Linked DNA regions of Mus musculus: regions 1, 2, 4, 5, 6 and 7 are each reported to be linked to region 3. The links are microRNA targets in miRTarBase. Many come from high-throughput screens and were not tested one by one. Region 3 holds a microRNA gene; each other region holds the end of a gene's coding sequence. Distances are from middle to middle.
The links. The annotated mature microRNA mmu-miR-340-5p reads UUAUAAAGCAAUGAGACUGAUU and lies in region 3 at 2,067-2,088, shown strand. An mRNA with a match to its seed (bases 2 to 7 or 8) in the 3' UTR can be bound and repressed. Matches are read on the target gene's strand: a 7mer-m8 pairs with bases 2 to 8, a 7mer-A1 pairs with bases 2 to 7 and ends in A, and an 8mer does both.

Region 1: miRTarBase lists Nsg2 as a target of mmu-miR-340-5p. Seed matches in the 3' UTR shown: 8mer at 1,829-1,836.
Region 2: miRTarBase lists Map3k7 as a target of mmu-miR-340-5p. Seed matches in the 3' UTR shown: 7mer-A1 at 1,872-1,878.
Region 4: miRTarBase lists Epha7 as a target of mmu-miR-340-5p. Seed matches in the 3' UTR shown: 7mer-m8 at 2,046-2,052, 7mer-A1 at 2,158-2,164 and 7mer-A1 at 4,011-4,017.
Region 5: miRTarBase lists Slc41a1 as a target of mmu-miR-340-5p. The part of its 3' UTR that is shown has no 7-base or 8-base seed match.
Region 6: miRTarBase lists Son as a target of mmu-miR-340-5p. The part of its 3' UTR that is shown has no 7-base or 8-base seed match.
Region 7: the mRNA of Enpp2 is a reported target of mmu-miR-340-5p. The part of its 3' UTR that is shown has no 7-base or 8-base seed match.

What each region holds. Positions count from the first base shown.
Region 1 is chr11:32,056,844-32,060,924 of GRCm38, reverse strand. It overlaps Nsg2 (neuron specific gene family member 2), which reads right to left. Exons shown (of 5, transcript NM_008741.4): 5 at 1,714-3,482. The coding sequence ends at 3,291. Among named protein-coding and RNA genes, the nearest start is that of Gm12108, 42 kb to the left of the region's middle.
Region 2 is chr4:32,018,870-32,022,950 of GRCm38, reverse strand. It overlaps Map3k7 (mitogen-activated protein kinase kinase kinase 7), which reads right to left. Exons shown (of 16, transcript NM_172688.3): 16 at 1-3,450. The coding sequence ends at 3,270. Among named protein-coding and RNA genes, the nearest start is that of Map3k7, 57 kb to the right of the region's middle.
Region 3 is chr11:50,067,654-50,071,653 of GRCm38, forward strand. Mir340 (microRNA 340) reads left to right here and starts at 2,049; the gene lies at 2,049-2,146. Rnf130 (ring finger protein 130) reads left to right here. Exons shown (of 9, transcript NM_021540.4): 3 at 3,518-3,768.
Region 4 is chr4:28,963,360-28,967,436 of GRCm38, forward strand. Epha7 (Eph receptor A7) reads left to right here. Exons shown (of 17, transcript NM_010141.4): 17 at 530-4,077. The coding sequence ends at 644. Among named protein-coding and RNA genes, the nearest start is that of Gm11917, 100 kb to the right of the region's middle.
Region 5 is chr1:131,845,961-131,850,041 of GRCm38, reverse strand. It overlaps Slc41a1 (solute carrier family 41, member 1), which reads right to left. Exons shown (of 11, transcript NM_173865.3): 11 at 1,179-3,492. The coding sequence ends at 3,307. Among named protein-coding and RNA genes, the nearest start is that of Rab29, 19 kb to the left of the region's middle.
Region 6 is chr16:91,677,900-91,681,980 of GRCm38, reverse strand. It overlaps Son (Son DNA binding protein), which reads right to left. Exons shown (of 12, transcript NM_178880.4): 12 at 2,789-3,880. The coding sequence ends at 3,821. It overlaps Donson (downstream neighbor of SON), which reads left to right. Exons shown (of 10, transcript NM_021720.1): 9 at 612-824; 10 at 1,955-2,716. The coding sequence ends at 2,092. Among named protein-coding and RNA genes, the nearest start is that of Donson, 8.8 kb to the left of the region's middle.
Region 7 is chr15:54,835,947-54,840,027 of GRCm38, reverse strand. Enpp2 (ectonucleotide pyrophosphatase/phosphodiesterase 2) reads left to right here. Exons shown (of 25, transcript NM_015744.4): 25 at 492-1,127. The coding sequence ends at 662. Among named protein-coding and RNA genes, the nearest start is that of Enpp2, 82 kb to the left of the region's middle.

The DNA.
Region 1 (4,081 bases), 18 Mb from region 3:
ACATCAGCACCCAGCCCTTAGCATCATGGCAAGCATCATGGCAGAATCACACCAGGCATTCAGTAAGGTCAGGACCTCAGGACCACTTCATGCCCTCCACATCACGAGGGACCTCAGTTCATGTTAGAATCTTGGGTTCATGTCATATCCTCCAAACCATGTCAGGACGTCTGTGATATCATGTCAAACCTGAGTATCGTGACAGGGCCTTGGCATTATGTGAGACCTTAGCAATATATCAGGCAATCTGAATCAGGCCAGGACCTCATAATTATGCCATTATCTCTGCATCATGTGAGGTCCTAAGCATCACAAGATGTCCTCACTAGGATGGGACCTCAGCAACATTTCTGGATGTGAGCACATTGTCAGATCCTTAGCAACAAGTCCTGACCTCAGCATCTGCATTATCACATGAGTTCCTGAGCATTATGGAATGAAACCAACATTATTCATTCCCTCTGCATCTGCTATTTCTTCAGTATCATGTAACATCTCATGTCACCTCACGAACATCTCATGTCATGTCAGTACCAGATTCATCTATCAGAACCACAGGATTCATCTATCACCACCAGAACCTCAGCATTGTGTCTGTCACTCGGATTACATTAGGTCCTCAGCCTCATGTAATGCCCTCAGAAAAATAGCACGAGTCTAATGTCATGTCAGAGCCTATTTAGCATACCATGCCCTAAGTGTCATGGCAGGGGGGTCAGCATCAGAGGAGGTCTTCAGCCTTGTGTCCAGACCTTGACATCTTGTCAGTACCTGCATCATGAATGGATCTCCAGTATCATGTTATGTCTTCTCTGTCATGTCTGGACCTCTGTGTCATGTTAGACATTCAATATTGTCATGTTTAGAGCTCAGCGCCATGTCAGGACCTTGTTTTAATATCCTACGAGGACTTCAGAATAGCGCTGTGACTTCAGCATCATGTTGGGACCTCAATGTCACATGCCACTCAGCATCAAGGCAGGCCTGCAAGCAGCATTTTAGAAACTGAATATCATATGCAGGTGCTCAGCACCAGCTGAGAACCACAATATGTGATCAGGTAGTAAAATACAGGGTCACCATGGTGGTCCCTTAACCGGCATGTCAGTGCCTTGCTATGATGTCAGGACCATGACGCAGGGCCAGCATTATGTAAGGCCCTTAGTTAGCATCCTGTCTGTCAGACCTTCTGCACCATGAGGATCTCAGCATCTTATCAAATGCTCAGCATCATGTAATGCCCACGGTATTATGTCAGGCCTTCTGAATCAATCATAACAGCAGCAGCATATCATAACCTCAGCATTGCAGGCCTCTTGGTATAACATACTTCATGTCATATCATGATACTTCATATATCATATCATAGGGTCCTTCGGCATCCTATTAGCTCCTTAGTGGCATATCTTGACCTCTTTACCACATGAGGCTCTGGTGTCACGTGACATTCTCAGGATCATGAGTAGTCCTTAAGATTTTGTAGGGCTTCAGGATCTTGCCCAGGGCTCCGCATCGTGCCAGGACTTTAGCAGTGTATCAGGCTATACTTACTTTAAGATAGAGACCCCCCCCCACACACACTATCCCAGTTTCTCCTCCCACGTCATAGGGCACTCTGCTCCTGGACTTACCAATCCCACCTCCTGTGCCCCTAGCATTCCCATGAGGTTCACTGAGCAGAAGGTCAAGCCGTCAAGGACAGATGGACAGACAGTCAGGACACTCAGACACATCTATGTTTATTTTTTTTTCCTGTCAGAAAATTTCAAGAATTACACCAAAAAATACTTCAGCCTCTGCTACCTACTGACAAAAATACACCACAAAATTATAAAGCGCTCTGTGGTTTTGCTAGGGAAGATTTGTTGATCCGTTTCAGATGACAAATGAATTTACAGGTGACTCAAGGTGATGGGAAGATGGGGGGAGGGAGGAGAAATCAGATGAGAGTATCTGGCAGGATGGTTTGAGATATACTATTCCTATTACCCAGCTGCTGTGTACAATAATTTCAGCAATATAGCAAGCCACAAAAAAATACCCTTAAACGGCCTATGCAGACCAAATGGGCAATTCCCCTGGCCAGTTCTCATTCTCTTGGACCTGGGGCCAGCACCTCCAAGAAAAGGGATTTCCTGGAATGCTCGCGAGAAGCAGGAGGCCCTTGCTAAAGTGCCAGTGAGAAGCCTAAGGATGTTGGCCACACCTCCCTGTCAGGTGCTTCTAGAACCTAGCTGGGAAGTCTGGACAACTCTGTCAACACAACACAGTGAGCAAACAGTCACCTTCTCCAGCTTCTTTTAGGAATGAGCACTGCCTGCCCAATCTTCAAGTTTCTTCCCGGCTGTCAGATTTCAACTAACTAGAATTCAATTGTCATTCCTGCTGTCATTAGCGCTTTGGGGAAAAAGCAAAACCCGGGTGAAACCGGGTGCCTATGCTTTTAGCTGGGTCCAGAGCGGCCCGCCTGACCTCTCTTCCTTTCTCTCCCTTCCCACCCCTGCCATCTTGAAAACACGGGCAGCATCTAGGGATACACCTAGAAAAACAAAAGAAAGACAACATCTATCCACGCCTGTGTTTGCTGAGGCACAACAGCCGCCCTGTGAGCATCGGAGCCTAGGTCCCCATGGGCTGCCCAGGGCTGAGCGTGGATGCCTCCCCCATGAGTTTGTGCAAATCTTGCAAGCTCACCATTGAGTGGTACTCTGTGCATTCCTAGTTGAGAAATGCCAACATCACCTTCCTCTCCAAATCAGCCTTGCCTGCCATCGCTGTGCTTCTCTCCTGCAGACCACAGGCAAACTGAACAGCCCACCCTTCGCCACGCAGTACTCGGACGCCCACACAGAAGCCATGGGGCCTTATCTAAGAAGTCCCAGACAGACTCTGCTCTTTACTGCCCTGCTGTGTCTTCCACGTGGAGCCCGTTTCATGCTTTTTAAATTCATTTTATCCGGCTCCCCTTTCTGTCTCTAAATTATCCTAACAAAGAATAAGCGGCGGCTTTGAAAATATCTTACATGGGAACAATCAACGCGAAACATGCCTTTGTACACGAGCCTGACTTGGGTACGAAGCAACAATACAAAAGAACAAAAGGAAAGATCGATTCAGACAACTCCAGTGCACAATATTTTTGGGGAGTGCTCCCCAGACCCCATCCTGCCCCGCCCCCACCCCGTACCCTAGCAGTACAGTATTGTCTTGTAGCTCCAGCCTTGCTTAACTAGTGGGGAGGGGGGTTTCCCTCTCCACCCACCCACCCCCATCCCAGCTGGGGCAGACCTCTAATGGCCCTGCGTCTTGGGTGGCTTGGGCTCATGGATGACAGCAGCTGCTGACAGCCATGGCCCGATGGCCCGGGCAGTGCTCTGCTTGGCCACACTGTAGTGGCTGATGACTGTGTAGAAGCGGCTCCTGGAGCTGGGGTCCTGGGACGAGTAGTAAGCATCCAGCGAGGCCGGGATACAGCGCTTGTGCTGGGGAAGAAAGAGATAAGAGTCAGGAGTAGCCGGGTGGGCTGCTGGCACCCACGGGGACGCTGATGGCCTGTGCAGGGACTTCAGTTCCATCAAGTACCCCACAGGGGACTCTTCTCCTGCACCTGGCCACAGTAGACCTTCCCCAAGATTATACCATCACCATCTTCAGAGGAGAGGAAATATACCTACTGTTGGTACTGAGGTAAGACCAGACACATAGGCTTGATGGCCATACGACACTGCTCTTGGTAGCATGACATCAGGTCCCCAGTGGCTGTCTGGGCCATTGTCCACAGATAATGACAATTTCATGTCCTTTGTTTTATATATGTATTTGTTTTTTTTAGTAAAGTTATTGGTTCCTAACATTAATATGTATTTCCTTATGTATTTATCTGCATTATCATAGTATATATATATATATGATAATCATAAAATATCGCTAGTTTTAGCACTCAGAGTGAAGGTGTATTAAATGAGTGTTGCTGCCTCTTAGTGTGCTTAGGCTATAAATGTCCTCTGTTTATAAGGGATTGACTTAGGCGTTTCCAACTATCTGATATACGAGTGTGTACCCTGACAATCCTGTTTCTCAG
Region 2 (4,081 bases), not on the chromosome of region 3:
ATAGTAAAAATATGTGGTTATCTATAAGCGGGGGGGGGGGTTACTTGATATAAAAGCAAAATGGTTACTGTAGCTTAGAAAAAACATTAAGAAGTTTGCAATGATAAGTCAGTCACTTTTATGCTGTACTCCATAAAAATGAAGGCCCATGAAAAAATAAAGAGGACTTTTTTTTTCTCACGTGTGTGTGTGTGTGTGTGTGTGTGTGTGCGCGCGCGCACGCTCGTCTGAGTATATATGCACCATGTGCTTACAAGAACCATCAGGAACATAAGGAGTCAGACCACCCCGGAACTGGAGTTGCAGAGAGTTGGGAGTCTCCATGCGGGTGCTGGGAACAGAACCCTAGTCCTCCACATGAGTGCTCTTAACTGCTAAGCCGACTCTCAGTCCGATGATTCAGTCTCTGGCATGACTATGGTACACTGTACTGAGTATGCTAGGAAACTGGTGATTCAGCTATTGGTCTGCATGAGGTAAATACCACTGGGCAAACCCACAGCTCAGTCGTCGTGTAGAGAAGCCAGCTACCATTCCTACATACCAGCCTGAAATAACAATCTGAATTTTATTAAAGACAAAAATAAATCAAAAAAGCCTCCTTCAGTTACAGAGTATGCACAAGAATTTCTGCATTATATCATCTTACAAGAAATACCTGGACAGGAATAAAAGTAGATAGCTTTACTAGCTTGTGAATAGAGGAGTTGACTACACACACACACACACACACACACACACACACACACACACACACACACACAGGGAAGGAGGGAGAAACAAAACCACCTGTAATCTCTGGCTGCAGGAGGAGGGGGCCTTGGGAGAATGACAGAAATTTGAAGGAAAAAGACATTCGCTATTCAAAAAATACTTCAACAAAAAATAGCCAACCACTTGTAAATAACTCTAAGCAGATGTTTTCAGTATGGCAGTATGGTGCTCTTAACTGACTTACTCAACCTAGAGCATGGCTTTACTGCTGAGGAGGACTTCACTCCACATTGCACAACCTTGCTTCCTTTCCTGGAAATGGAAACAAAATGCCACTAGTGTCTGTGCAGGACTGTCTGGTTCTTGGACATCAATGTATAAACCTGTCTGCCTGTTTTCTACTTCACCCAAGAAGTGAGGCTTGAATAAATTGTAGAACAGGAATTAGTGACCATCTGGCTCCTTGGTATGTTGTTATTTGAAGGTTTTACAGGTTGAGACATTGAGCAAACTGGTATGGATTTCAAGTATGGATGGTGTGCTCACGTTCAGCGATAGTGGAGCTTTAAAAATGCATGTGAGTGTGCCAGTGCACCTACTTAAGGCTGTCCAGGACCACAGTGTCGGAAACCCCAAGGAGCTGAGCATACACAAGCAACCGAGTAACAATCTTTCAACACTGGTACCATGAGCAAATCCAGTGTTTTCTTCCATTTGCTTGTTTGAATACTTTCAAGTGACCAGGACAACAAAATTTCCTTTTAGTTGTAGGATGCAGACCTTGCAAAACAACTGGCTAGAAATGAGCTTGCATCCATGTAATGTGGAATCTCCTGGGAAGTCAAGATGCTTTCAGCATGCTGCACAGCAGAGACCATGGCTCTCCTGTGGAGTGCCAGATGTCTGCACAGGCAGCAGTGGCAGGCGGTGTTGGTCTTGGACTCAGACTACAGCTATCTTCTGTGTCAGTTTTATGTCACTACTAACGCTGAGCTCGGCACTCATGTCACCTAATAGAGTTTGAGGCTATCTATAATCTTTTTTATTTAAGTGAAAGAAGACATTTAGCTCCCAGGAGCTTTCTACTAACAGGTTTTGAGGAAGGCACATCTTGCTATAAACTCTCCCTTACCTTCACTGTATACAGAAGGGATTCATTATAAAACTCAGAGAGGAAAAAAATAACAGGAAAAAGGTTATCTGTCTTAGCCTTAAAGAACACCTTCGCTAGCTTCTCGTGCTCATCTGGAACAGAGCAGGAACATGCGAGATGTACATCTAAGTACCACAGCGATCATCTTTCCATTCCAAATGTTCTCTTTACAAACATGAACACTATAAAAGCGAAGCTGATGGCATCTAATTTAAAAGACATTCATGCACTGGTATCAAAATGTGTTAACATGGACTGAAAAAATAGATCTTAGGGATTTATTTTTTTAATGGCATTTTATTATTACCTTTAAGTTATTTTGAAGGTTGGTAGTAAACTTATTGTTAACAATATAAATATTCTCTTTGTAAGTGTTCAAATTCTCTTAAAAGCATGGGAAGGCAACAGACTCAGGAAAGGACTTCAGAGGAATCAAGTCCTCTGAGTAGCTACGAAAGTGGGTTTAATTTTCCTCCTTTGCCTTCCTTACTCGGGCCTCCTGATTAGCCTGCTGTGTTCCTTATTTGGTATAACAGACCGATAGCTCAGCTCAAGCCTCCTTTAGCTGGGCCAATGATTTGTGTCTCTATTATTTTTCAATTTTCTTCAAATATATCATAAAACAACTCAGTAATGGTTACAAGAAGGATCATTTAAGCTACATCATCATCTTTCAATTTCATCTGCTACTAATATTAAAAGTCAGAAAGGCTTCTGTTTTCACACAGAATTGAAAATCCATAGGGTGTAAAAAGAGCATGTCATTCATATTTCACAGACGATGCTCAACCTCACGAAAGTCAGTAAACTTGCTCTCCTTAAGCACAGCTGCCACCACTCACCTTTAATAGTAACAGGTGGGACTACAGTTAGTATTGATCCAGGATGTGTTGGCACAAACCCTGTCTTTGAACTCAGCCTCAACATTCTGTCCCTCTGTAATGTACCACAAGTTATTTTAATACCCTGTCTTTACATTGGAGCATACCATCTACTGGGAAAAAAATCAGATTTTTGAGATGAGCACTTTGAAGAAAATTCTTGAGGTCCCACCTTTTACTACAGAGAAAGGATGATGCCTGCACACAGTAGCCAGTGTGCTACCCCCTCCTGTTAGGTAGCTCACTCCAGGAGCATGCACATACAGCCAGGTTCACTTCATGTGCTCTGAAGCTGAGCACGCTCGCCTTCCCAAGCCACAGGTGCCATCATCTGCTGCAACACGACAGTGGATTTTATATCCACCATAAGAAGAAAGGTAACTGACATAACAAATGCAGCAAAGAGAGGCATTTGGCATTCAGAACACGCCAAAAAGCTAACACTCATGAACTGTTATAATGGTTTGTCTTCTCTTAAAAAAAGGTCTTTGCATATTTTAAAACGTAACGGTCCCAGAGAATCATGAAGTGCCTTGTCGTTTCTGCTGTTGGCTTCTGATGACCTCTAGTTGTTTTTTGCATTGCTGGTAATAAGTAGAAAGGCTTTTGTTTTCATCTAAAAGCTTTTTATGTTCCTGTACCAGACGAGATGTATTTTGCTGGTCCTTTTCATCCTGGTCCAATTCTGCAACTAGTTCTTGCCTATAAACAAATTACACAACAGACATTACACCCGATGGGAAGATGCACACCGGTAGCTGATGAAGGAAACTCAGCTAATTAGAACCTTTCTCCCTATCATTCTGCAGCTTAAGTATATTACTCCAATATGGTCCTAGGACAGAATAGAAACCTCCCACTCATCTATTGTAAACCCACAAGACAGCCCTTCATTAAGTACTTAAGCAATCAGTAAATCAGAGAAACACTGCACTAAGTTTCAGGAAATTTCATGTGGTGCCCTCCTTTCTTGGTAGGAAGAAAAGGAGGCTCAGTTCCAGAGACAGCACTGTGTCACAGTTCCTACTTCACAGCTATACGCCAAGGTCCTCCCATCCTTACTCTGCAGTCACAGGGCTACCTAACTGCAGCTCTAATGGAACAGCAGAAACAGTATTTGTAAAGATTTTTGGGAGACCCTCATTCTTACAGGCAGGTAAGCTTCAAGTTCCTTTACTTTGAGGACATTAAATGTTAGCCCTAAAGTGAGAGTACTGGGTGTAAATAAACAATAACGTCTTATCAAAAGGAACTTCTCAATAGTTACCATTTAAAGTAAGTACTGAGGCGGGTGACCGGTTAGTGGCAAGGCCTTGCCACCATGCCTGATGCT
Region 3 (4,000 bases):
CACTCTCACACACGAACGTCTGTATATGCAGGCATAATACCAATACACATAGAATAAAAATAAGTAAATTATGAAGAAAAAAAGAAAAGAAAATTCTCAGAATAAAAAGGGAAGAATTACAGGGAAGAATTGCAAATTTAAGTAGCCATGCTAAGTTACTAAAACAACATAAATTCCTATTAAAGAATAAATTGGCAGGCTAGCAAGATGGTCCAGTAGTTGTGAGTGCTTACTGTTCTCTCAAAGAGTTCGGTTCTCAGAACTCATATGGGACAGTTCACAGTCACCTGTAACACCAGTTCCAGGGAGTCAGTGACAGGTAGATACACACGCATATACATATAAACATGAGGTTAAGTAATAACTTTTTGTTGTTGTTGTTTTTCAAGACACGGTTTCTCTGTGTGGCCCTGACTGTCCTGGAACTCGCTCTATAGACCAGGCTAGCCTCCAACTCACAGAGATCTACCTGCCTCTGCCTCCAGAGTGCTGGGATTATAATAATACTCATAATATTCTTTATTTCACTGCCATCTCTAAGAATTAATACTAGCTATGGTGGTGTGAGTGAGAAAATCTTCCATAGGTGCCCGTATTTGAACACTTGGTCTCAGGTGCATGGTATCATTTGGGGATGTGTTGGAGGTGTGGCCTTGTTGGAAGAGGAGTGTATTAGTAGAGTCCAGCTTTGAAAGTTTAAAGATTCCCAAAATTTACTGCTGTTCTCTCAGCTTAGTGCTTATGGTTCAAGATGTGAGACTGGAGAGATGACTCAGAGGTTTCCAGGGCATTCTTCTGCTCATGGAGAGAACCTGAGTTCAATTCCCAGCACCCACAACAGGTCTCTCACAACTGCCCGTATCCCCCCTTCCAGGGGGTCTGTGACTCCTGGTCTCCACAGGCAACTATAACTTGCATGCACAAAGCTACACACATAAACACATAATTGAAATTAACAGTGTTTTTAAAAAGGTGTGAGTTCTTGGCATCCAGTTCCTACCTACAGTTTGCTGCCATTCTTCCCCACCATGATGGAACTATAAGCCAAACAAGCCCCTCCTTGTATACGTTATGTTGGCTATGATGTTTAACCACAGCAGTAGAAAAGGAACACATAGCTGCATGATTGTTGAACTCCAAAGCCATGTCTTGGTGTTTCAGAACACAGGCATAGGGGTGATCTGGTCACATTCTTTGTATCTGTTTAATGTTTCCATTACTTCAGTCTAATTAACCCCTCTCTCCTACCAGCTACTGCTACTCTAATCCTAGTTTTATCCTGAGGGTTAAGTTTCCTCTGTTGTCATCATCCCTCCTGAATCTGCACCAACTCTCCCAAGAGTTTTTTGTTTTGTTTTTAAGGTTTATTTACTTTTTTATTGTGTGTGTGTGTGTGTGTGTGTGTGTGTGTATACCTGCATGAGTCTATGTGCACCATGTGTACAGAGCCCTCGAAGGCCAGAAGAGAGTGTCTGTTCCCTCTAGAATTGGAGTTACAGTAGTTATGAGCTGCCATATTGATGCTGGGAACCAAACCTCGTCCTCTGCAAGATCAACCAGTGCTCTTAGCCATCTCTTTAGTCCCATCCCCATTTGTAAATGTCTGAGCCATCTTGTTAGGCTCTTTGAACCCAGCCCAGCTCTAGATGTTGGGGAGAAAGAAACTTTTTTCCTAGGAGGGTTTGTAGTTTGCTTCATCACCTTCTGTAAGAGATCACTGCCTTCACTAATATCAGATGTGCTGCTGTACTTTTTTATTTGATCATTTTCAGTCTCCTTTGGCAACATTGCCCAGTCTCCTCTTTTTGCTAGGATGATAAAGCTACAGTGAGATCTATTCACTCTTGTCCTCCTAACAGTGAATATTGACAAGTGTTGAACTAATTAAATTTTTCTTTCCCAAACAGCTTCCTGTTGAGATTAGTTGACGCGCCCATTTAGTGTTCGGTTAAGGAAATTACTGGATTGGTTGCCTTGGCTACCTGTGCAGCTCTCCCCACTTCCAGCTTGAGTCTTCAAGAGGGAGCCTCAGAACTGATTTCTAAAACCAATTGTACTTGGTGTGATTATAAAGCAATGAGACTGATTGTCATATGTCGTTTGTGGGATCCGTCTCAGTTACTTTATAGCCATACCTGGTATCTTAACACCACAGATCATGCCTGTTGATCAACATTGTAAAAGCACAAACTTAAGGTTTCTAAATGGAAATTTAAACTGGTTTAGCATTCTTTTATGATTCTTTTTAACTCACTCACCAGAGGCAGATGTTAACTTAATAATGCTAGTTTTAATTTTGTTGTCTCCTTTTTGTTTATAGATTTTTTAAGCAAAAATAAACTGGTAAACTACTACTCTAATAAAGTGAATAAACCGTTTTGAATACAGTATTATGCAAATATATATTCCATTGAGCTATATTTTTTTCAAAACTTCTGTTACTGAGTTTCTGTTGTGTCTCATCTTGACTGCTAAAGGTAACAAGAAATCAAAACAAGTGTTTCTAATATTTGTTGACAGAGCCTTCAAAAGGTCAGGTCTGGGGTCTCTGCTTGCTGTTTTGAGAGGGTATTTTGTGTTTGGATGCACAATCCTCCTTCATACTCACAAAAGTGACCTTGGTGAGTAGCTGCTCACTCTGACTTAAAACAGGCCCTTGAAGCCATGTGAGAAAAGGACTTGAAAACACAACTGAACCATCCTTGTAATTAACTTATAAAAGTTGTGCCTGTGGGCAGAACTCTGAACAGCTTTTAGGAACTGAAGGTTTTAGGTATCATTATGGGTAGTAGTCCAGAAAGTTGAAACTTGGGCCTGCCTAGAGGATTTGAGTGCGCTGGGCATGGTTAAACAAGGTGGAAAACTAACATAAAACTCAAGTCTGAGGCTAGCCGAGGCAATGTGAGATGCTGGCTCCAAACTGGGTGGGAAAATTGTTGCGTTTGAGCTCCAGAAGTGCCCTGGAAGGAGCTTTACTGTAGACAGAAGACCAAAGTTAGTTTCAAAGGTTGTTGGTAAAAGATGTTGCCGTTCGGCACTTGTCACTCCATAGCCAAGTGTGTGCCCTAAGAAGTACCCTTCTTTCTGTTTCTTAGAGCAGTCCTTGCTCAGCAGTGCGTGTGAGGATGAGTAGTGCAAGGACCACCTGTTCAGACTGTAAATGACAGTGCTTCTCTGTCAGAACTTTCCAGATTGATTGCTATAGAAAGGTTTTCTACTGAAGACTTAACCTGATTTAGTCACAGGTGGCTGCTTTCACAGTGCTTCTAATGCACCGGTAAGGCAGTTTGTGCATTGTTAACACCACAGTTGCTTTATGCGTTACCTGTTTGGAGCACTGTACATGTTCTCATGCCTGTCAGTTTACACAGCTGCAGCCTCATGTCAGTTGAACTGGAATCTATAAACCTTAGTGAAAATTATGGTAATTTCTCTATGGAGCATATGTGTATATTTATTTGATGTGTCTATGAATTTCAGATGTCACTTTAGTCTGTGTATTTGTTTTACATTACAGGCACGGGAGATATTATTGCTGTCATGATAACAGAATTGAGGGGTAAGGATATTTTGAGTTATCTGGAGAAAAACATCTCTGTACAAATGACAATAGCTGTTGGAACTCGAATGCCGCCAAAGAACTTCAGCCGTGGCTCTCTAGTCTTCGTGTCAATCTCCTTTATTGTTTTGATGATTATTTCTTCAGCGTGGCTCATATTCTACTTCATTCAGAAGATCAGGTACACAAATGCTCGGGACAGGAACCAGGTGAGCTAACCAGTACTCTAGCCAGCCGTAATCCATGAGGATCTTGTGATAATACTTGTTTATGTCATATATTTAAAAACAAGACCAACAACAACAAGATAAAAACATGCCAAGTATGGTGCTGTACCCTGTAATACCTGCACTCGGGGTTTTGAGGCCAGTTGGACTACGCAGGCGTTCCAGGCCATATTCTATCTCAGTTTTAAAAAGAAAAAGAAATGAAAGAAAATGT
Region 4 (4,077 bases), not on the chromosome of region 3:
TAACTCACTGCACATTTAAGCTTTGACTCTAGCATTGTACATATATGTAGCAGTTTTCTTCTTGCTATTCAATTGAAGGAATGCAATTATATCTCTACTAATTCATGCTCAGAATTACTCCCAGAATCCAGCTCACTGGACATTTCTGTGTGACACTGACTTCCTGAACTTTCTCCTGGGTTCCCAAAACAATTTTCACTATTACAATATCCCATGTTTCCAATTATATAATTTACAATGCCCAGTGTTTCAGGTAACATTCCATTGCCTTTTAAAATAAAATCTTAGGATGAGTTAAAAAGCAACAGTATGGTAAACTACGAGACAGACTTGTTCATCCAGTATTTTCAAATGAGACTGTCCAAATACGTCAGCATCTTCTTTAGAGTAAGACTGTATAGCACCCAAGAGTACTGTTAGTGTGCGTCAGCCAACAGGTAGTAGAAAGCGTGAGTGACTGTGAAGAAGCACGCAGAGCACGTTCTGTTCTTTGTCATGGATCTGATAAGCGTGCCCTTGTCTTTTTCAGTGATGTGATGAGTTTAGGGATCACACTGGTTGGCCATCAAAAGAAGATCATGAGCAGCATCCAGACTATGCGGGCACAAATGTTGCATTTACACGGAACAGGCATCCAAGTGTGACACATCGGCCTCCCTCAGATGAGGCTTAAGACTGCAGGAGAACAGTTCTGGCCTTCAGTATACGCATAGAATGCTGCTAGAAGACAGTTGATATACTGGGTCCTTCCTACAAGAAAGAGAAGATTTTAGAAGCACCTCCAGACTTGAACTCCTAAGTGCCACCAGAATATACAAAAAGGGAATTTAGGATCCACCACTGGTGGCCAGGAACACAGCAGAGACAATAAACAAAGTACTACCTGAAAAACATCCCAACACCTTGAGCTCTCGAACCTCCTTTTTATCTTATAGACTTTTTAAAAATGTACATAAAGAATTTAAGAAAGAATATATTTGTCAAATAAAAATCATGATCTTATTGTTAAAATCAATGAAATATTTTCCTTAAAATATGTGATTTCAGACTATTCTTTTCCAGAACCATCTGTGTTTATTCTGCTTAAGGACTTTGTTTTAGAAAGTTATTTGTAGCTTTGGACCTTTTTAGTGTTAAATTTATGACACGTTACTACACTGGGTACCTTTGAAGACTCTCAAACTTAAAGGAAAGCAAAACTACGCACATAGTCGAGGATGGGACTTTGTCCTTCATGGCTTTGGTATCCTGGCTGTGTCATTTTGTTAAACCAGTGATGTTTTCATATTGTTTGCTGATTGGCAGGTAGTTCAAAATTGCAAGTTGCCAAGAGCTCTGATATTTTTTAACAGGATTTTTTTTTCTTTGTAAAAATCAGACAACATACTAACTTTTCAATGAAAAAAAAAAAAAAAAAGAAAGCAATAATGATCCATAAATACTATAAGGCACTTTTAACAGATTGTTTATAGAGTGATTTACTAGGCAGAATTTAATAAAAAAAAAAGAGAGATGTCAAATTTTAGGTTTATGTGTATATGATAAAAGGCTGAGCTTCGTCTGAAGATGCTGGTGAAAGCAAGACTGGAAGCGAAGCTCTCCAGCTTTGGCTAACCCAATCCGAGCACATCAAGAGCTTCAGTCTTGTGACAGTAAGAAATTTAGGAACATAGTTGACCTATATTTTGTATTCTTTCTTGTTGAATGCAGTCCAAATACAAAAGTAAGGAATTCAGTTTTCTATTGTTACTCTGAAGCAAGATCACAGGGGCCATTCTCTTCTCACCACTCACAGACAAACTAGCCGCAAATATTTCCACCAATGCAGTGAGAAGAAAGCAACACAGAGGTATTTTATCTATGAACAGTGACACACACACACACACACACACACACACACACACACACACAAACCCTTTTAGGTCAAAACTCTTTTACCCCAGAAGGAAGAAGTAAAGGGTCTGGCTTTTCTGTTTCCACTTTATTTATCAGACCATATTATTTGGTTACTGTGTTTGAATTTCATAAGCAATAATTAAATGTGTCTTTATAGCTATTTCAGGAATGTATACATATTTGAGTAATGTTTTCAAAAGTTACAAAAATCATGAACTACCCCAAAACTGAACTGTTGTACTTCCAAAGAAAATTGGGCTGTTTATAATGATTTTACTAGAGAAAGATCCCAGGGATCGGTCCTAATTGGTGTTGTTTGGTCATGTGGACATCCACAAACAATCAAACAAACAAACAAACAAACAAGAACAGGTAACAAGCAAAATCTGTAAATGTTCCTTTGTAAAACTTGTAAATTTTATTTATACCGTCTTGTTTTGTATACACATTTCTCAGTCGTGGCTCCGAGGACATGAAAATGCTCTATATTTTTCTATTTTACTTGCAGAGCTTCACAAAGAAACAGGTATTTTCAGTGCTACTTATTGTGTTTTCCCACATTTAGGACCAAAGATGGCTATAGAAAACTCAAATGGATTGCGTCCCAAGCCCCGCCCTATCCTTCTTTTTCCTTTTTATCACTGTACAGTGTTATTTGATATTTTAATTTATTTTTTGATTGAGTAGAAAACTCATTTTAATTTCTCTAAAATGTTTTTTGTCCCTTAGGAAAAAAAATAATCTGTAAAAATAGTTTTAATTAGCATAATCCAGTCACCCTAGACACTTCCATTTGTAATCTTTGTAATAGACTGTAAATATATTTTTGGAACTATAACACAATGTGCTTGAGGGTTATTTTTCAGTGTCTGCAGTGTATACAAAAGTGTTTAACCTCAGTATAGCACTTTACAATTCTAATCAGTAGCGTTGGCCTTTGTGCGAATGAGTGCGAGCTTGAGCGAGTGTTCTCTAATTCCGTTTGGATTCCGGACTCACTAATAATGAAGTTCTTTTCTTGTTCATAGCTTAAGGTGCTTATTTTTTCTATTAAAAATTAAATTAACAAAAAAGCCATTCTAGAAATAGAAGACGCAGTATGGTACATGCAGACAGAGTCTTTCCTGCTTTTTCTAGTAATAGATTTATAGTTGAGTAGTCTTTCTTGAGTAGAAGGGCAGAATAAAAGTGGTTTTTTTGGGTTTTCTTTTCAAGAAATAACTTTTTCCTTCAGCAATATACCTCATCTGCCTTAAATTTTTTACAGCTCTTTACAGGGAAAGGGGAGACGGGATGGAAAAGACACAGCACAATAAGAAGTGGATGATTGCATCGTGCTCTCGTTTGTAGGTCTCTTTTCCTAATCAACACTATGATTTTGAAGTACGCGTACACGAAGCAAACGGGAAGAGATAAGGAATTAGCATTGTGAACCTGACTGTAATCCTCTCTTCCGGAAAGAGATGAGATGCTATTGCGATGAGAATGTACAACTTGCACCTTGAAATCTTTTTTGATAATTAGTGCTCAGGGGAGGGGGGGGGAAGTAGAGAAAGCAAACGCCCAACAGAGAATTCCAAAAGTATAGAACACGCAACAGGAAATGGCCTCCTTGCTTTAATACAGCCGCCTTTTATAGAACACCGCCCACCCAAACCACCTGGTTTGCGTTCAGTACTGAGATACATTCAAGTAACTTCTTACATTGGGAGCTAATATTTTCTCAGCAGTGGATCAGGGCCCTGTTTACTAGACTGGTGGCTGGCTCATGCTTCTCAGAGCACTGTTAGTAGAATCATATTGTATACTTATGTAATCTACATTAGCTAGCACTCTTTAGGACTCTATTTTAATTGCTCCTCTTCTTGGTGTTTTTAAGACAATGGAAAGGGTGTAAGTCACCTCTCTTTTATTTAGGTAATGCTGATCCCTTCCCTTTTGTTTCCTGAGCAGCCCAGAACTGTACTGCTCTCCAATGTGCATGTTCCAACGAATAACTGATGTGTATTTTTTTGCTATATGTGGAGAAATCATGGGGAACTTGGGGCGAAATATGCTTTTTGTTGGTTGAATTTTGTCCCTCCTTGCCTAAGAAATACTACAGGGGTCATCCTTTTATAAGGACAAAAAAAAAAATGCTTTTGAACAGTGTCTTCAATGTATCAAGCACAAATAACTCTT
Region 5 (4,081 bases), not on the chromosome of region 3:
TTCTCAGCTTCCCCTGTGGTGTCTGGACACTGCTCATCATAGGCCTGCACTGTTCCCACTGATAGGGTTTAGATAGGGGATGTCTACCTAAAAAGCCCATGTATTAGACTTGACCCTCAGCTAGACACTACTGGAAAGTACTGGAAATTTAACAGGTGGAGCCTAAGAGGTTGTTTTAGATCATGGAGCTATATGCTTTGTAGTGGGCTGTGGAACAAAATTCCCCCTTGTCTATTTACTGGCTGCCACGAGGTACGACCTGCCCTACCCTGGGTTCCTTGGCAACATCTACATCACAAGTGAGAAACAGTGGGGCCTATTAACCAGGCACTGAAAACTATTTTTTAAAGTGTGTGTATGCATGCGCATGTGTGTGCATGCATGTGCACCTCCCCTGTCTGCGCAGGTGTCCATGGAGGCTAGAACAGAGCATCAGGTTGGAAGCTGCCTGATGTGGGTGCTGAGGACCACACTGTTATCCCCTACAATAGCAGCAAAGCAAAGCGTCTTAACCCCTGAGCCACGTCTCCAGCCCCCTCCTCTTTTTATAAGGCATTTCTGGTGTTTTGTTACAGCAATGGAAGGTTGAATAACATAATCTACTTTTAATATTTCATAGTATTTTTGGGCTTAGTATGTACCAGGAACAGAATTGTATGTATGTATGTATGTATGTATGCATAAATGTATGTATGTATGCATGTATCACTGGAGCCTCATCTTACACTTACCCTATAAACAGGGTATAATTCAGGTTAGGAAAGGGCTAATGATTCATGGAAGGTCATATAAAATTGTACAATTCTTTTGCAGCCAGTTACATGGTAAATACTCAAGGTAAAAGCATTTCTACACTGACTCAACTCAGCTATAAACCTCTGCAAGGAAGGAATTCTAACCCATAGATGCTGGTATCACCTGCACCAAGGTAATGCATGGGGGCCAGGGAGGGGAGAGCACCGTCTAATATCCTTTAACACAAGGACTTTGTACCCTTAACATCCGCCCCATAGCATCATTGCTTGTGTCTGATGTGTTTTCTATTATATTCTAAGATGGTTCCTCACTTTTGGCACATCGACCCCTTCCCATTTCTGAGGTGGGGGCGGGACCACAGAACAGGGTCCAAGGAAATAGCTGAGTCTGCTTTTTGATGAGACACACAGGGATACAAGCCATTGAAATAAACTTCCATTTTATTTTACCAAATATAATTTATCAGTTAAGTCGACATTTGTCAATTCAGTTATAGTAACTATAAATAATTCTCTTAAGACACAGTTCTGTAACTTTTGAAGGATATGAAAGTAAACCAATTTTGTTTCTTCCAGTCAGGCCAAAAGTACATGCAATAGGTGCAACCCGGTGGGAAGAAATGAATCTCCTGAAGTCACTCTCCTGTCACTCCAGGCCCCTCCACTCACATGCGCTGAGCCTGGGCGCCCCTACCTTTCTGTTTTCTAGGCAAAGGAAGAAGGATGCTTCAGTCTCCAGACAGCCTGATCCAACTCCAGATGTCAGGATAGAGCAAGTGGCTGGGGACCCTGGGGTCACAGTCTTAGGGTATGATGCCTGTGCAAGAGTCTTGTGTTTTGAGATGGAGTTAGGCCAGAGGGAAGAGCAGAAATAAACTCAGATCCACACTGATCTGCCTGACACAACCCCAACTAGACAATCTCTATGAATCTGTCCAATTCGACAGTTCTGATTTCAGGTGATGACAGAGGAAATGAGGCCGAGAAGAGTCTCTAGGTCTAAGCACAGTGTTGGTAGACACGGAGCACTGCTTAATCCTTTTCTTGGAGGCTGACCCTTTAGGCTACACAGGGGGAAGAATTTATGGATTCCAGACAGACAGGCCAGAAGTACAGCCTGCACCCCATTTGTTGAACAGTTTGGGGCATGTGTAGGGAAGGGACTTTGGTTTTCTTTGAATCATGGACGAGGCAGATACTGAAGCAGCCTATTGATATCCAGCTTGCTAATTCCAAGCCCTCTTCTGAGTGGGTAGCAAGATGTGGAGAGGAGAGAGGCTGCGGGAGGAGGGTATTGGAGGACATGCTGCTGCTTGAGCAACGGGGTTGGCAGTCACTGCAGAGTTAGGGGCGAACGAGGGAACATTTACTGTCAGGTTGAAGAGGCACAATGGCCTCTGTAGCCTAGGGGATGAGGTGAGGTTAGAGCAGCGATTCCCTTAGCACTGGTGGGTTGATGCCAGGCACTGAACTTAGCACAGTATGCGCCCCGTAACGACTGCTCAGTGAAGAATTATTGCAGGCCGGTGCTGTGGAAGGGCTCATCTCGGGGAGGCTGAGATTTGCTGAATGAGTGAATGGTTGATGCATGTCTGTGGGCAGAAGCCGAGAGAAAGGCCAACGGAGCCCTCGTGTGATAGAATGAGTGTGTTTAGGAAGTGACAGAGGCCAAGACTGACCACGTGATTATGTCATGAGAGACGGCAGTGAGACACCCCCCACCCCTCCCCGTTGCCTCAATCTCCAGGTCATTTGGCACATTCCCTTGTCCTATCCCCAATCTTAGAAGCCCATCTGGCAAGCTGCGCGGAGACGGAGTGTGTGGAGAGAATTAAAGAGAGGAGGCTTGAACTCGGTTCTCTAGACTCAGGGGGCACATGGACCTTTGGAAACCTGTGGATGACATGGATCCGTGAAGAGCCCGGGTCACTACCACTCATTTCAGCTGGGAAGCAATCAGGCAGTTGGGCAAGGCACATGTGCGCAGATGGAATCTCCAGTGCACGTGACTCTGCGGGCAGGCTGGCCTGGAGCAGGCCTGTGATTACGAGGAGTTGAAGCAACGTTCCCCTGCCCAGTGCTGTGAAGTTGGTCCACATCTATAAAAGTGCGTGCATGTGTGGGAGTGTTAATTATCCCTCCTCCCTCTGTTCAGCCAAACCCTAAACAACCCAGAGCCCACTTGAGAGTTTCTCATTAGGGCCGAGGCTGAGGTCGCTAAAGCTAATGCAAAGGTCCCCGATGCTGGACAGGATGCCAAGGTCCCGATCTAACCTCCTCTGGAGGCACCCACCGTGGAATTGCACTTGGTGATTGTCTCAAAAGTCTACTTTTACTGCTTATGTCAGCCCATCTGTCTGTCCCGAATTCTTCCTATCCAAACTTGGCTCAATGTATAAAAAATTCCCATTGAAAATAATGAGAATTTGGTATCAAAGTGAAATCCCAGAAAGGCATGGGAGTGTAGTGTAGGGTGGGGTAGGGAAACAAAAGGAAAATAAAAATCCAAATAGAAAGTGCAGAGGGGTGGGGGAAAGACTGAATGGCTAAGCTAGTCCCCAACATCTGTGTCTCTGTCCCCAATGAGCCAGAGCACATGGAAGCTGAGTGCCAGGAGTCCGGTGCCAAGCAGGTCCCCCAAAGCAGTCAAGTATGGGATGGAGAAGTTGTCGGGGTCCAGGCCCCGGCCCCACATCCAGTGCACCATCCAGTCTGCGATGTACAGGAGAATCAGCACCTGGGGAGACAGGGGTTCTGCTTGTAGCCACCCGCTTTCTGCAGGGGGAGCCAGAGGCCACAAAATTGGATGTGTTCAGTGGATCACAAGGCTTGGCCGGTCACAACCTTTTTGCCAGGACAGCTCACAGCAAGCCAGGGGCTTTCTAAACTAAATCCTGCCCTTACAGGAAGGCTGCCCTTGTCTCAATTCTGGGTCAGATCATTCTTCAGTTACTGCAATTCCTGCCATGTTGGCCTCTCCAGGAGCCTGGTAGGGGCTGGCAGGTAGAGCCAGTTTCTCTTACAAGGCCCTGGGTAACAGCTGATTACACAAGCTGCTTTCTCTTCACCCTTCCCACCCTGCTGTTTATTCTAATATTCATCTGTAAAGTAGGTTTATGAGCCAGTCAGCGAAATACGTCAGTTATAATGCATAACAGTTCAAAAATACATCTTGGATTATCTACATCGATTTATTTGCTCCCTTGCTTATGTTCTATAACTATAGATGAGAATAGATAATAGATATAGAGAATAAATGAGATTGGAATATAGGTACTGGGTCCAGGACCAGTGGTACCTATCGCTTGCAGTGGACAGTGGGTCAC
Region 6 (4,081 bases), not on the chromosome of region 3:
GAGATCCACCTGCCTCTGCCTCCTGAGTGCTGGGATTAAAAGCGTGTGCCACCATTCCTAGCTCAAATTCTCAATTTTTAAAAAATAATTCTAGGGACTCGGGAGATGGCTCAGTATTTAAATATGAGAACTGGCTGCTCTTGCAGAAGACCCAAATTCAGTTCCCTGCACCCACGTGGTGGTCACAGCCATTGGTAACTCAAGTGCCAAGGATTCTGATGCCTTCTTACCCCACGGGTAACAGGCACAACTGGGTGTGCATGCATTTGAGAAAATACAAAATCCAGCACACGGGAGGCAGAGGCAAGCAGATCTCAGTGAGTTAAGGAACAGCAAGGCCTACATAGTAAGACCCGATCTCAAAAAATGTGTGTGTGTATATATATGATAGCATATAAACAAGTTTTCATAATTGTAAACTGTTGTTGCATACTTTGGGCTGTGTGTCGGCACTGAGACTGCGTGGGGGAGGAGGCCTACTAGACAAGCAGCTTGACCAAGTCGCATTCCCAGGAGTTTTGGTTTTGCTTGAGAGCTAGGTGACATGAGTTATATCAAATCCCTTTTACTAATTTTCTGTACCACATGACTTTTTTTTAAATGTTCTGAAGGCACGGAGCAGTAATGTAAAGACACAAGCTCTTTCTGGATACAGAGATAAGTTTAGTTTGGATATCACAGGGCCTGTCATGCCTCATGCATTGCATTCTATGAGCATGCTACTCCGATCTTCACAGAGAGGGTCCTTCTCTGCAGGACTGTATGCACACGAGCCAACTGCAGTTTTCAATGTTGGCCTGTCTCTGGATAAAGAACTGGACAGAGTAAGTAGACCAGTCATACCCTATATCCTCTTGCTGGGGTAAATGTCACTTGTGCCAAATTTATATCGTTTGAAAACAAGTTACAAATTAATATCCACATGGGCATAAGATAAATTTCATGAATTTAGGAAATGCTAAATATGAATTCCTGATTCCTTTGTAGTTTATGGAAACATGATTTACCCCAGCTATTTTTCCCGTTTCTCATGTCTGTGTACATAACTTGCAGTTCTGCATGTGTTTAAGAGCACCCGGGATTGAGCGAGCTCACACGGAGCTGCTCTTCTACCTCAGTCATCAGTGTAGTCTTTTCCTCAAGACCTGAATGTCTGAACGTGGCTAATCTTGCTAGCTGGTCTCTGTGTGCCACCTTCAGACTAATTACAAGTGCAAACCATGTCTGCCCAGCATTCTTGGGCATTCTAGATAGCCTCCAACTCTGGTTATCACACTTGTACAGCAAGTGTTTTAACACTAAACCATCTTCAAGCCTTAGTTACTAATTTATTTTGGATTGTCTTTTTAGACTTTTTTTTTTTAAAGATTTATTTATTATATGTAAATACACTGTAGCTGTCTTCAGACACACCAGAAGAGGGAGTCAGATCTTGTTACGGATGGTTGTGAGCCACCATGTGGTTGCTGGGATTTGAACTCTGGACCTTCGGAAGAGCAGTTGGATGCTCTTACCCACTGAGCCATCTCACCAGCCCTTTTTTAGACTTTTTAAAGATAGTTTACAGTCCTTTAATTGGCACAGTATTTATCAAGCCTAATAGACTAGTTAATTTAGGATTTTCATACTACAGAAATTATTAGGATTATCTTCTAGCTATGATTGACTGAGCCATTTATTGGCAAGTCTTTATGGGGATTATTAAAAACTTGGTGAACCAAGCAAGAGAGATGGGTCAGCAGTTAAGAACACTGACTGCTGCTCTTCCAGAGGTCCCGAGTTCAATTCCCAGCAACTACATGGTGGTTCATAACCATCTGTAATGGGATCTGACGCCCTCTTCTGGTGTGTTTGAAGACAGCTCTGGTGTACTTGTATAAATCTTTTAAAAACAACAAAACCTCGGAGTTCAAGAACTAATGTGCTTTATGGATGTGGACTTGTGTTTTCCCAGAAAGTTGCTCGTGAGGACCTTGCTAATTGTGGGCTGCATCCTAAAACCCTGGAGCAGCTCAGTCAGAGGCCAGTGCTGGGGAAGTCATCCCTGCGGAGTGTGGAAATGAGTGACTACATTTTAAGTTGGAGATCCTGAACACCAAAGTAAGCCTAAAAGGAGTCTGAGGAAAAAGCTTCCTAGCAAGGAAATGCAAGATGCGTAGGCCCCTGGCTTTTAAAGTTCATTCGGAAGAATATATTTTAAAATACTGAAATGTTCCTAAACATTTTTATATTAACTTATTACATGCAATAGCATTAGGTTTTAAATCAAGATTTTGCTTTTATTATTTTCATACATTTTCAGAGATGAAGATGCAAGGAGCTTCCTTAATACCTCAGATAATTCAAATAAGAGTTCTATCCCTGCAACTTATTGTTAACCTGAGTAGAAAAGTCAGTGTTTTATTACAATTGAGAAACAGACTACCTGTAGCAATTATTCCAATGGAGACTAAAGCATCCACATTGTACCTTAGACGAGCAGTGAGTTCTTTCAAGACGTAGGGAAATGAGCATTTTTACTAATGATTTCTAGTTCCTCTGCTCTCACGTATGTTCATCTTCTGTGTCAAGTCAGAGGGGAGGCTACTTTGTACTTCATCTAAGTGCTGGGCCCTCAGCCATGTCAACTTACTACTTAGTATGCTTACAGGTAATCTGTGTTTGCATGTGTGTATAAAATTCAGTATTTTTAAATAAACGTGCATAGAAATCACAAGAATTGGGTAAGAAACAAATAGTGCTTAGTTATATGTGTTCCATAAAAGCCAGAGAATAAGACACAACATTTATTCCAGAGAAGTTTGTATTTGGGCCTTAAGCTTTTGAAAATAAAGTTTAGAGACATAGCATATGAATACCACTGTAATACACATGAATATTCTATCAGACCCTAAAAAATTAACATAAACTTCCTCAGTCAACAAAATAGCGGCTGGGTGCCAATTTTTATTAGATAAGTCGGTTACAGCATTTTTATTTACGTCTATCTAGGTGTAGCTGAAATTCAAAATGCACATCAAAGTAAAACTATATCACAACTGAAGCCATACTAATATGTACTTGGCCTCTGAAGTTGGACTTCCATTTTGACTTCCTTCTTATGACCCAAGTCAAGTGGCTTTAATGGGAATGCAGGACTTAGTACTGATCATGACACAATGTATCACTTTCTTTTCATAATCTCTACAAAAAGGGGGAGATGGTGGCATAGCCCTGTGGAACAGATCTTGCTTCATTGCCTTAATAACACTGGCCCAGTATCTGTCCAGCAGAACCCATTGTGAAATAGTACAAGGTGCACAGCCCTTCACTGATTACAGGCAAGTGTTACAGCAGCCTAGCCGTAAGGAAGGGAAGTTACATCATAGTACAAAATACAGTATAAAAGCGTTATTTAACATTCCACACTGAATATTACTGATGCCCTCAAACAATTGTTTGGATGTTAGCCACTTAAACAAATACATCACTAAGGTAAACAATATAAACATACCAAAACCCTGTATGGTTAAATACAATTTCCATGGTACAAAAACGAAAGCCTGGAGATGTTTGTACAGATTGCTTTTTACACAATGTCTTAAATTGTGAAATATTTACAACATTAAGGAGGAAATACATTGTGATGCAGAGTAAAATTATCTGAATGATTAATATAAAACCTCAATCTATCTACGTGAGGCACTCCTGAAGCAAGTGGCATTAGCCATGAGGTCCTTTGGTACAAGGCCCATTGCTTGAAGAACCACAGTTGCTGCTGTGGCTTTAGCATGCTTCTTATTAGGGCTGGCAAAGCTGGGCTGGTAAGCGCTTCCATTTATCAATACCTATTCAAGAAAAACATACAATTGGGCTGGTAAGGGCTTCCATTTCTCAATACCTATTCAAGAAAAACATACAATAAGAACAGCATCAAACTTTAATATCTATTAGCTTTGTAATTTTTTACTAAATTCTAAAAATAACTATAAATTACAAACCCCACATTATAGAAATTAATCTCAGCCCAGAAGCAACAAATGATTTTAAAAAGGAAACTGCAAAATAAATGCAAGCCTCCATACTATTTTTAAAAGCCCTA
Region 7 (4,081 bases), not on the chromosome of region 3:
AACTGACCTGTTTCAAGCTGAACATTCATTATCAGATAGTCACTGACTATCTCCCAGATAACTGATGGGTGTGATAGCTCTTCTGAACAGGAATACACATGTAGTTTCCTATGCTAGGCACTAGGTCTCTGCCTATTTTGTGAGATAGAAGAGCATTCCAGGGTGTGCTGAATCCAATCCTTCATTTGATGGCTGAGAAGAAAAGCAACCAGATCAGATTCTGAGGGTCAATGATTTTTTTCCCCATTTTGATTTGTGTTCTGAGAAACCAGTGAGAAGAACACCTTTTCACACTACATTTCTCATTTGTTTGGTACACTTTATCACTGTGAGAATGTCTACAGGCAAGGAGGGGTATTTGTGGTACATTCCTGACAGAATTCAGTAGAGATACGAGGGTCTGGTGGGAACAATATGCTTGGGTGTGTGTGCAGAAAATGACCTAGTCTAACCTTGTCTAGAAAAACCTGATTGCTTCCCTTCCCTTGCAGAGTTCCGAGGATGAGTCGAAGTGGGTAGAGGAACTCATGAAGATGCACACAGCTCGGGTGAGGGACATCGAGCATCTCACCGGTTTGGATTTCTACCGGAAGACTAGCCGTAGCTATTCGGAAATTCTGACCCTCAAGACATACCTGCATACATATGAGAGCGAGATTTAACTTCCTGGGCCTGGGCAGTGTAGTCTTAGCAACTGGTGTATATTTTTATATGGTGTTTGTATTTATTAATTTGAAACCAGGACATAAACAAACAAAGAAACAAATGAAAAAAAAAAACCACTTAGTATTTTAATCCTGTACCAAATCTGACATATTAAGCCTGAATGACTGTGCTGTTTTTCTCCTTTAATTCTTGATGTAGACAGAGTTGTGTTCTGAGCAGAGTTTATAGTGAACACTGAAGCTCGTGATCCAAGTAGAAGCTTCTACATGGTGCTGCCAGTTGAATATGTGCATTGAGGAAATACTAGGTTCCCAGTGCCCAGTCACCACGTGTAGTCCTGTTCTGTATTGAAAGACTGATTTTGTAAAGGTGCATTCATCTGCGGTTAACTTTGACAGACATATTTAAGCCTTATAGACCAATCTTAAATATAATAAATCACACATTCAGATTTTCCCTGGTTCTGTCTGGCCTTTGTTTCTTTTGCAGATCTGGAGCTTTCCCTCAGGTGTGTGCATGCGCAAGAGGGCCCCGATTCTCTTGCATTGGGTCCTCTTCCCAGCTGCTTCCTTGATATTTGACTAGATGATGGTATAGGTACATGCATACGGGAAGTCAGAAGGGCAGAGTTAAAACAAACCAGGGCCGGGGAAAACATAATTGTTTAGTAAGATATTTCAACTTTGAAAAAAAAAAAAAAAAAGGTCTCTTGATTGATTCAGTTCAAAATTCTCCATAGTAGATTCAACCTCAATTGTTTTATGGAGTTAAGGATGTAGTTGATGGAACATGTGCAAGACAGTGTTCAACTCCCAGACCTACAAGAATAAAAACTTTATTAATCATATATTCTATTCAAAACATCCACCTAGGGGCTAGAGCAATGACTCTCCGTTAAGAGCACTGACTGCTCTTCCAGCCGTCCTGAGTCCAATTCCCAGCACCCACACGGTGGCTCACAGCTATCTGCAATGGGATCTGGTTCCTTCTTCTGATGTGTGTGAAGGCAGAACACTCATATAAAATAAATAAATAAATAAACAAACAAACAAACAAACAAACTCACCCAGCAATTATAGAGAATGTAAAGAGAAAAAAGTAAGTTGAATTGAGTTCTAGATGTAAACATGTGTAGGCAACCGACCAAGGCAGAGAATTGCCAAGGGCATAAGGTCACCATGCAATGTCAGAAGAGCATGGATGGGTTGTGGGTTATTTCAAAGCACATAGTTATGGTACTGTACAACCACATAGATATACATCAACTATGTACGGTACATAGTTGATGAGCAAAGCCAAGAGGTCATTAAATATTGTTAATCAAATCGTGGAGAAAGATGAAGTTGTCTTGTTAACATCGACAATAATACTGTCACATTGCCAACAACTGCTGGTCTTATTTTTTTTTTTAATTAAATAGAAGCATATGGCTTTATTTCCCCTGTGGTGGTCATCACAATTGGTCCTTTTAAATCTATTTCTGTTTAAATCTATCACTGTTGTGATAATCACAACTGGACCTTCAGTAGATGAAATGAGTTTTTCAATTTTTATAAATATTCCTTTAAATTGCACTAATTTAAGAAAAAAGGAAGGAACCGTGTCAAGTGAGGAAAACCAACATGACATCAAAAGCTGATGCCAGGAGTGTGTGAACATTCAGAGATGATAGAGGAACAGTGACATCTGAGAAGCAGGGCTCCAAGTCTACCTTGGAAGGAAGAAGTGTCTGTGCGCTTACCAAATTTAGTTAGCCTCTGTTTATTGGGTACTCATGGTTGCAGGCATGTCTCTGCTACGTGGTATGCCTTGTGTTGTATGCCTTCCTTCACAAACAGGAAGGCTGGGGAAGATTTTTATGGACTGGGCGAGGATGAGGTGTGAGTGGTAAGTGGTCTTGGAGTTTGGAATAGAGAACCAGTAGTGCAGAAATGAGCATGAATTCGGTTCTTCATCCATTCTGTATTTGGTCGTTTGGTAATAAACATCTTATCCAGCACTTACACAGGTCAGTAGGGATAAAACAGTGAATAAAAACCTACATGGTTCCTGACCCCATAAAACTTATTTTTTAAGTGAGTGGAAGATACTATTTAAGGTGTTAAAGTGGCACACTTGCAAGGGGAGTGAGTGTCAAGGCTGTGGAAAGGAAATGACCTCGGAGAGAACATTCTAGTTTAGATTAGGAGGATGAGAAGAAGTGGCCTCCAGGAAAACAGAGACTGGAAAGAACTACAGATGGTAGGAAAAGTCTCAGATCTGAAGGCTTATGACAATCTGAAAAGGATGCCCCTGAACGTACACAGTGGCATCTAGGTAGGCAGGGAACAGGCCAGGTTCCAAAGGAGTTCTGATACAAGGTGTCTTGATCCCGTTCCCTGTGCACTGGAGAATAACTGAGAAGTCTCATGTAGGATGTGATGAGACCTGACTTAAGATTTCTGCATACTGACCTGAGTAGGTAGGAATTACACCGTGTGTTCTGGATAGTAACCCACACAAGAATAAACCCAACAAAAGGGTCCACTTATGAGAGCCTTGCTTATCTCCCCAGAGTGTCACTGAAGGGAACAACAGTTAATTGTGAGCTGCTTGTGAAGATAGATTTCTGTCACCTGAGATTGAACTCATCCAAAGATGGGTTAAACCTAGACTCCTGGAGAGAGCAGGGTAAATTTACTTGAATCCCACTGCTCTATTTTTATTCTTGGATCAAAGTTTTTTTCTCATAAACAAACTTAATGCCCAGAGAGAACTCAACCCCTGTATATTTCAAGTAAGTGGCTTTGCAGATAAATACATGCCATTAATTGTGGGGTTATTTATGAGAGTCTCTGAATGGACAGGGACTCTATTAAAAATGAGGTCTAGAAGACTATTTTAAGTTGGGATTTTTTTTTTAATATATGGAGTCCTTAGTCCATTCATGCTCCCATTGAGCAAGTTGCTAGCCACTCACTAGCATGGTGGTCCTAGCCCAGCGGATGGGCTCAGAATCTGCCTCTTTAGAATGATCTCACTGAAAACAGCCACATGCTTTCCCAAGGGAGAAAACACTGAATTGTTTTGAAGAGGGTTGACTCTTAAAAAAAAAAAAATCTCTGAACAAAAGCCTTGCTGGGTGCCAACTTGGTTTGCGTAACTGCCTGAGAGCAGCAACCCCCAGCTTCCTGTACCATTGTTCCTTGTGGTGGTTGGGGAGAAGGTGGTTGTGGGAGACCCAGATGACCTCTCCTGTTTACACTTCTCTCACTGCAACTCTGTTGTTCTGTCTCCCTGCTGAATTAGGATTGGGCTACCCTGTGGGTGGGAGGTAGGGATGGCAATGGGTAATCTCCTGTGGCTTCCAAGCCAGCGATTGTTTGAGGCAGTGACAAACACAATTCAGATGTTCAAGTTTATGAGCTGGGGTAGA